2 linked regions of the Macaca fascicularis genome follow. The protein of the gene in region 2 interacts with the protein of the main gene of each other region in a biochemical or structural test. Links are inferred from orthologs where the notes say so. Each region holds a gene or a part of one and is shown on either strand. Other genes may lie near its edges.

Region 1 (4,278 bases), on a different chromosome or scaffold from region 2:
AATCGCTTGAACCAGGATGGTGAAGGTTGCAGTGAGCCGACATTGCACCACTCCATCTCAAAACAAAACAAATAAAACAAAACAAAATAGTTTTGAAAACCACTGGACTAAAGTGCCCAGCTAGAAGGTACTGCTGCAATTCAAAAGTGAGGGTCATAAAACCATGGAATGGGTTTTATGGGGTAGTACTCTTGAGAAAGAAAAGAGAAAAAATTAATCCACCAACTTTTCAATAGAAAATTTGATAGGCTGTAGTGACAAACTAGATGGGTTAATGAAAGAGTAAGACCTACCTTAAAAAATGAAAAATGCCAACTGAGCAGCAGCTTCTAGTCATACCCGAACATCAACAACATCGATAAGGCCATGTAAAAGTCAGCACTAAGGAAGTGTTATTCAAGGCAGAAAAGCAAAATGGCACTTTTATAGGCATTATGAGCAGAATAAGCAACAGAGACCAGGAGATTACAGAAAAAAGAGGACCACTACATCATGGAATAAGAAAGACAGTTTCGAAAAGAGCCATCACTGTATACAATGAGAGGGTGCACAGCCTTTGTAGCCAATCAGATGCAGAATTCTGGCACCTTCTCTACTTGATCAAGTTATTTAGCCTCTTTGAGCCTCATATAATAAAGAAAACATAAGTTAACAACTAACACTGTTGAACACATAGGGGCTTCGAATATATTGGTCAAATTTTATTTCTTAAGCTCAGTTGTGATACATAAATATTTATTAAATTAGTCCCCATTATCTTTTGTTGTTTTTGTTTTGTTTTTGTTTTTTTTTTTGAGACAGGGTCTTACTCTGTCCCAAGTGCTTTACATATCACCTCATTTAATCCTCACAATACATTTCCACAGATGGAAAAATTAAACTTAGAACTAGCATAATAAGTAGCAGTGCCAGGATTACTATTTCTTAGGATTTAAATAATGTATATTTAAATTTCCTGGCAAACAGGATGACCTCAAAACGAGTAGCTATATTTCATTATTAGGAGATAATAATCAATAGGGACAAAACTGCCAGTAATTCCTGTCATAGCCTTCCATGTGGCAAACTCCCTCAACATCCTCATCTATAAATTAGGATTAATGCCTATAATCCAACCTACTACATAGGGTTGCTGTGAGGATTAAATATTATGAATATGAAAATTCTTAAAATGTTGAGACATTCAAATATAAGGGATTGCTGTCACATACCTTTTGCCTTTTCAAAATGCCTTTGTGGCATTTTTGTTCACTACTTCAAAATAAGACTCTCTGAATAAGCTAAAAATAAGTATGTTAAATGTGCAACCACCACTTTGAAAAGTATAAATCACCACAGAATTACCGCCTACACCTGCCCCTGACTCCTCCAGGTTCTCTAATGTCTCTACAAGGGCAAGGATTCTCTTACACCTATAATGAAACTCTGATAACTTACAGTACAGCTAATCAATAGAGAGCTGCACTTCAATTCAGTTGCTCCAACGGCCTATTGTGTTTTCTCAGAAGTGCTCCTTCCAGTTCTTCCAGAAAAGAAAAAAGTGCCCAATTCTCTTATATTGTATTAAAACGGTGCCCAGTGAGTCGAATGCAGGTAACTTACGAAATGCTAGAAAATAATCTATCAGTTGACTTACTCAAGGGCTCTGACAGCAGGTCCCTTTTGGAAACTCCTTCACGACTCCCCCCTTTTTTCACCTGAACAGATGGCTTCCAGGCCTCAAGGTTCACTTGTCTAGTCATACAATTCACAATAGCCCCCAAAGTTCCTACCTTTTCAATTATCCTACGTTCTTGAACACACCTTTCATCTAAAGATCTCCAGCTGTCAAAGCAAACGATCTCTTTAATCTTCACAACAGCACTATCTGAGAGATTACTATCCTTATTTTAAAACTTAAAAATGAAAGACTGAGTAAATGTTTTAGCAACATCAGACAATTCGTTAACTCATTCTTGGGGAGAGAGGAATGCATATTATGAACTTCTGTCAATGGACAACCCAGATTTGGCTTCCTAACATCATCGCAAATATTAGCTCAAACACATCCCACTCTTGTATGCACACATTTCCAACACAGGTATCAAAGATTAAATATAAACCATTAATAACAGTAAATACCATACCAAAGCAGCACTATTTTTACACGCAAATCTATATTGGGGGAGGGGGTTCTAATTTAAACTTCCCACTGTCTTGAATCCATAAATACTTTTGAACTTGAGGGGTTAGGCGGAGTAACACCTGTCAGAGCAGCACATCCACAATGTTTTACAGACTGTGTAGCTATTAATATTTAATTCCTTAAGCCGTAAGCAAACCACCTTCTCAAAAAAAACAAAAGGCAGTATTATGCAGAACATTTGACAAGAAAGTCTACGTGGTTGTAAGAAGACCAATAATTCCCTGGTTTTAAGTCTCCCAGACTTTGTGAACTTGCTACGAGGGATCACCCCACCCGCCCCGGGAGGTCAGGCCGCAGGGAGCCCGGCGCTGCCCACCCGACTTTCCACGCGCCAGGCCCGCCGGCCGCAGGGGAGGCTCCGGCTCCCACTCCCCTCAGGCCCCCTCGCCCCGTAGACGGACTCGGCGGGACACTCGGACCCGCCTCCCGACCTCGGCGCGCCCGGCTCAGGGCCCGGCGGGCAGGGAGAGGGTCGCAGCAGGGCCTGGCCTAGCCACCCCCGCCCCGCGGCCGCCGGCGCCGCTTCCCTCCTTCTTCCCGCTCCCCGATTCGTTACCTCTTAGGCGCCGGCGGCTGCTCCATGGCGGCCGGGGGCAGAGAGAGGGACCTGGTGGACTGCGAAGGCCGAAAGGAGGAAAGGAGACCGGGCACCGGCTGGCCGAGCCTAAGGAACCACAGAGGGAAACTCTGGGAACTCGGACCAACTTTCCCGTAACTCCGCGGCGGATCTCCCTCCCGCTTCGGAGCGCTGCTCCTACCGCCCCGCCCCCGGCCGCCAGTCGCCTGCCTCCGGCAGCAGCCCAGAGAAGGTGGGCGGAGCCGGGCGCCGCGGCGGGGGGCGGAGCCTGCCGCGGCCTGGGCTGGCGGGCGGGGCTGGTGCCGCGGCGGGTGGGCGGGGCTGGGGACGAAGGCCGGGCTGACCCCAGAGCCCCGTGACCGGGAAAAGGAGGAGGTTCGGCTAGAGCGAGGGGGCGAGGCCGGAGCCGCTCTAGCCTGGGGAAGGGCGAGTCCCTCCGAGCTGGCCCAGTGCTCCGCCCCTCGCTTGCCCTCGATACGGTTTGCCCTGATCCAATTTGACTCATTTCTTTGGCTTTCCCAACGATACATCCAAACATCGTGTGAATCCGTTTGAAGTATTACTTTCTAACTGCCCACGCTTCCCTCTCTAGTTCTGTTTATAATTATCGGTTATGTTTTTCCCCCAGCCATTTGGCATGTGTAGGCCGCAGTACTAGGGATACTTCTGGAAATTCTTGTTTGATTTTTATTGTAGACAAGCTCCTCGCTACATTTCACAATAATTACATCTAATTACCGAGAAAATAATTAATGCAGTGAGATCTCTCGGTGCACCAAATTCAGTTGCACTGGGTCCTTGCAGCTGTCCCATTGGGTAACCTGGCAAGCCTGCACAAATTATGCTGCCAAGAAGAATACTCAAGAAAAGTGTGCTTGGTTCCCTCTTTGGTCCTCTCCCCTAACCTGATCCCAGTAGTCCTCATCCCATTGTAATTTGACCACTGCATGCATCCATATTGTGGGTATACTTTTAACCTTAAATTCCATGTATAGATACCTTTCACATAACAATATACAGCTGCTACATGAGTTTACCTGTTTTTGTCAGAAATTGTCAAGATGGGCCGGGCGCGGTGGCTCATGCCTGTAATCCCAACACTTTGGGAGGCCAAGGCGGGCGCATCACTTGTGCTCAGGAGTTCAAGACCATCCTGGCCAACATGGTGAAACCTCGTCTCTACTAAAAATACAAAAGTTAGCCGGGCGTGGCGATGCGCCTGTACTCCCAGCTACTTGGGAGGCTGAGGCAAGAGAATCACTTGAACCCGGGAGGCAGAGGTTGCAGTGATCCGGGATCGCGCCACTGCACTCCAGCCTGGGTGACAGAGCAGACCTTGTCTCAAAAAAGAAAAAGAAAGAAAGAAATTGTCAAGATGTAGAGTTATAAGAATTTTCTTGGCGGTTAGAACAATAAATATGAAGATAATGCTAAATAAAGGAAATGAATTTGAAGAGAATGTTGAATAATGTGAATATTTGCCCAGATTAAACTTGACTGTTAGCAGCTAATACAA
Region 2 (4,274 bases):
ATCCTGAATCAGGAAGACCAGAGGGACATGATCACATTTTAAATTTAAAAATAAAAACTGAAATAGGGTAATGTAAGCCAGGAATTAAAAGGAAAAGGCAGAAAGAGGCTAGCACTGTGCCCCAAAGGAACTCTGAGACCTAGCAGTAAAAGAGAAAAACCACAAAGGAAGACAGAAAAAGAAAGTGATAAAGCAGACCGCAATACCTGGAGGGAAGGCAGGGGTTTGGAGAGGAAGAAAAGGGGGAGGGGTAATTATTAAAGGATTGGTTTCCCAGAACCAAGGTTAAATTTCCAGGAATCCCAACTCTACTCCTCACTATGGTAGACCCTGGGCTAGATGCTTTGCCTCTTTGGGTCTCAGTTTTCCTCTTTGTAAAATGTGACTAATACTCAATAGACCTATGAATTTTTAAAATAGACAATCTGTTTCTAGCAGTCTTTTTGATATGTTGTGTCTTTGAAGATAATTTCAAGATCCCACCAACCCCTCCTCTCTGAAGGCACAAGCATACCTCTTCTTTTCAACTGTTAGCTCTGAAGAAATATTGGTGGGACTAAACTCTGGTTATGCGAGCAGTCAGGATACGCCACTGCTTGAATAACACCAATGGTCAAGCTGGAATGGGCTTTAGGAACCACTACTCTAACCCTCTTTTCTGTAAACAAGGCACTCTATCTAGCACAGCAAGATTAAAAGTTCTGCCCAAGGATGCAGTGAATTCCCAGAACTAGAACCAAATCAAGGAACCTGCGTCATAACTAGAAAGAAGGTCACAGACTGAGCACCTTGGGAGCAGCTCAGCGCTGGTTAAAACATAACCCTAGGGAAGCTGAAATCTGAGTGACAGTCTTAATGGCTTAAAAATTATCACAGGAGTAAAACATTTAACACCAAACTATGAGCATGAAAAGAACAGAATGCACTGAAATATTCAGAATACACATAAGTATTTATCTATTTCCAATACTTAACAGTGTGAAGTCCACAGCACGTCATTAATTCTGGTTAATAACAACTATATTAGAAACTGAGAAACAGTATGGCACGGAGGTTAAGGTCTCCGAGAGCTCCACAGTCCGTCAGACAGGGTTAGAATTCCGGCTCAAACACAGATCAGCAATGTGAAACCTTTAGGAAGTTACCGCATTTCTTTGTGCTTTGAATACTCCGTCTGTAGAACGGGGATTATAATCGTGTAAGGATTAAGCGAATGATTACAGACTGAGTACTTATACTGCTACTGTAAACTATTAGTAAAATATGACTGTATTTTTTAAATATCATTGCTCTAAAGATTGGTATCACCAGAACTCGGCAAAATTTTCAGGTATCCAAGGTCCAGAAACCAGCAAAGTATTTTGTAAAGGATCCTTTACCGAGTAAGGGATTAGCTCACCCCTCTATAAACTGAAAACCCTTTGGTAATTTCTGAGGAATGGAAGAGCCCTAATGACTTTTTTTTTTTTTTTTTTAAAGGAAAAGGGGTACAAGAGGTTTCTACTGCTGGGCTAAGGCCCTGCTGGCTTCTGGTAGCTATAAAACCACGAACGTTAGGTAAGGATTAGAGAAGAAACCCAGAGTGGCTGCGAATCAAGATAAGACATCAGATAACAGCAATTATTTTACCATGATGTGACATGTAATCCTGATGTTCCTACCTGAAGATAAAGAGCACAATTTTAAAAATCTCTGCTCCTCCATTTCCAAAATCCAACAGCTGCTGGTCCCTTTACCACTTAAAAGTCATACTCTGCCCTCCAATTCGGCTGCGCAGCCCACATTAGAGAAACACCAGGCAAGGGGCGGGGGAGGGGGTAATGGGGAAAACGCCCGGATGGTGAAAGACACCTAATGTTTCTTCTCTGTTCCTACTCACTACCTGCGCTAGTTTTAACTACTTAAGCCGGTGTCCAAAACACAGAAAAAACGTCTCAGTCCTGCCTTATCGCGTGCAGGTGCCAGGTGATCAGAAATCAATACCGGGGGAGGCTGGCTGTCCCCACACATTTCCCGGAGCCTAGAACGATGAGGCATGAGGGCTGTTGCGCAGAGAACGTGACCTTGTTTTTCAGGCCCGGACTGTCTTGTGCTCCCCTACCCCCCTGTAATGCAAGAAAAGAACCGAATAGCTTCTGAACCTTTTCCTCCCAAGCCCAATGATATGACAGCCAAAGTCAACTTCATTAAAGGAGAACCAGCCAAGGCAGAAATCGACCGGGTTTGCGCAAACCTCACCGCACAGCACAGTGTCCCCGCGTTCTTAAAGGGAGCCAATCCACGGCCCTGATCTAACCACTCTCGCACACAGGGGCGCTATTTTGCGCACCTCAACCCACACAGGGTCTCAGTATTGCTGAGACCGTGTGGGTTGCTGAGTCACTGAAGATGGCAGCTCGGCCCCAAAAACACCGTCAGCCCTGAAGTGGGGTTCAGGCCCCAGGCATATGTGGTTTTAAAAGCTCCGCAGTCTGGACGTCCATTGGCTCGGGCACTGAAGGGCGTTCAGGATTAACTAATTATCGGCACCTCCCTTCCCCAGAGTCGCCTGGGCGCCCCAGGGAAGCCATCTCGACTCCCAGCCCCCGCCCCCGCGGGCCCTTCCCCTCCCATCCCCCCGCTCCTCTACACTCACGGGGACCCTGTCCGGATATTTCTTCCGGATCTTTTCTCCTTCCTTTTTCCGATACTCAAAGGGATGGTCCTCCTTGTACTGGAACTTCATGATGCACCGCAGGGCTTCCGAAATTCCCCGCGCGGGGCCTGCCTCCTTCGCCGCTGGCCCTGTCCAGCTCCCTCCGCCGACGTCAAGGTGTGCTCAAATAGCTACAGAAACGTCCGCTCCCGGGGCAACAGCGCTGGGCCGAGCGTGCAGAGGGGGTTCGGTGTGGGGGGGAATCTCGGGTGAGCCTGCCCGGAGATAGAGGAGAGCCAGGTGGAGAAATACCGGCGGCTTTTCGCTGGAGCTGCGAGCACAAAAACAGTTGGGTGGCGCGTCGGGCTGTGACGTCACCCTGCGCGCCCCGCCCCGCCCCCCAGGCGCCGAGGGCAGGGGGCGGCCGAGTGCTGTCTTAACTGCGTTTCCTTTCTGGCTAACGTTTTTCAAAATCGATGTCATTGCAAACATCAAAACATTCTAGTTGTGTTTTATTTTGTGACTGTGAAAGACGGTTTTAAGACAAAAACAATTTTAAACATGTTTTATTCCCCCTCCACTGTTTTTCTTGGTTTGGCCCCAAAACAAATACAAAAGGCGAAAATCCTTTTCCTGCTGGTTGGGATCCAGCCTCAGGGGAAAAGAGGCCCAGGCCTCCTGGGATCCCTTTGGCCAATGCAGAGCTGTCTCGTGCTTGCACCGTGCCCTCTGCGCTTTCCGCTGCCCCTCCCGCGGCCCTCCTCCCGCGCTGGCGTCACAGTGTTTGGGCCGCGCCGCAGTTCGCTCCTGAACAGCAACATAAACAGAGCGTGACTCAGGAATTTGAAGAGAGGAGTCAGATGAAGGACGCGGAGTGTAATCAAGGTCCAAAGGAGACGTGATGTCAGTCAGGACTACGGAGGGCTTCACGTACAATCAAATACAGTAATGATTCACTTTCTAGCCGGACGCGGTGGCTCATGCCTGTAATCCCAGCACTTTGGGAGGCCGAGGCAGGGGGATCACCTGAAGTTAGGAGTTCGAGACCAGCCTGACCAACATGGAGAAACCCCGTCTCTACTAAAAATACAAAATTAGCTGGGCGTGGTGGCCCATGCCTGTAATCCCAGCTACTCTGGAGGCTGAGGCAGGAGAATCGCTCTAACCCGGGAAGCGGAGGTTGCGGTGAGCCAAGATCGCGGCATCGCACTACAGCCTGGGCGACAAGAGCGAAACACCGTCTTAAAGAAAAAGAAAAGAAAGAAAGAAGTGATTCACTTTCTGCCATTAACTCAGAAAGGAGGCTTGTCTTCTGGAAAAGAGAGTATCAAGCAATTTAGGTGATGACCTCAATTCTTCCCCCACATCTTATTTAGTTCCAGTGGTTAGGTATCCCTCACGTGGCTGGAAAGCGCTGCCTGGAATGCCAGTGGAAGATTGGGCATTGCGGCAGGTGCGGCGAAGCCTCGTTCTCGCTTTCCCCACCTAGAGTCAAAGAATAAAGACCTTCCAACCAGTACGGTAGGCAGCGACACGGAGGACCGTGGAGATTGCAAAGAAAAAGAAGAGTGAAAACGGGCTGCGTTGCCCATACAAGCCGGGTGAGTTCTGAGAAATATTAGACAACAGCAGCCCCATG

Evidence for each region.
Region 1: the proteins of GABARAPL1 (region 2) and STK3 form a complex in vitro, tested with the Homo sapiens proteins (2 studies listed by BioGRID and IntAct). The link is inferred for Macaca fascicularis from reciprocal best matches to the Homo sapiens genes GABARAPL1 and STK3.

Annotation. Positions count from the first base shown.
Region 1 is NC_088382.1:108,435,435-108,439,712, forward strand, and holds the start of STK3 (serine/threonine-protein kinase 3), read right to left. Parts: upstream 2,950-4,278; 5' UTR 2,768-2,949; coding exon 2,742-2,767; intron 1-2,741. UniProt on the Homo sapiens protein: Stress-activated, pro-apoptotic kinase which, following caspase-cleavage, enters the nucleus and induces chromatin condensation followed by internucleosomal DNA fragmentation.
Region 2 is NC_088385.1:10,692,490-10,696,763, forward strand, and holds the start of GABARAPL1 (gamma-aminobutyric acid receptor-associated protein-like 1), read right to left. Parts: upstream 2,983-4,274; 5' UTR 2,726-2,982; coding exon 2,636-2,725; intron 1-2,635. UniProt on the Homo sapiens protein: Ubiquitin-like modifier that increases cell-surface expression of kappa-type opioid receptor through facilitating anterograde intracellular trafficking of the receptor. Involved in formation of autophagosomal vacuoles.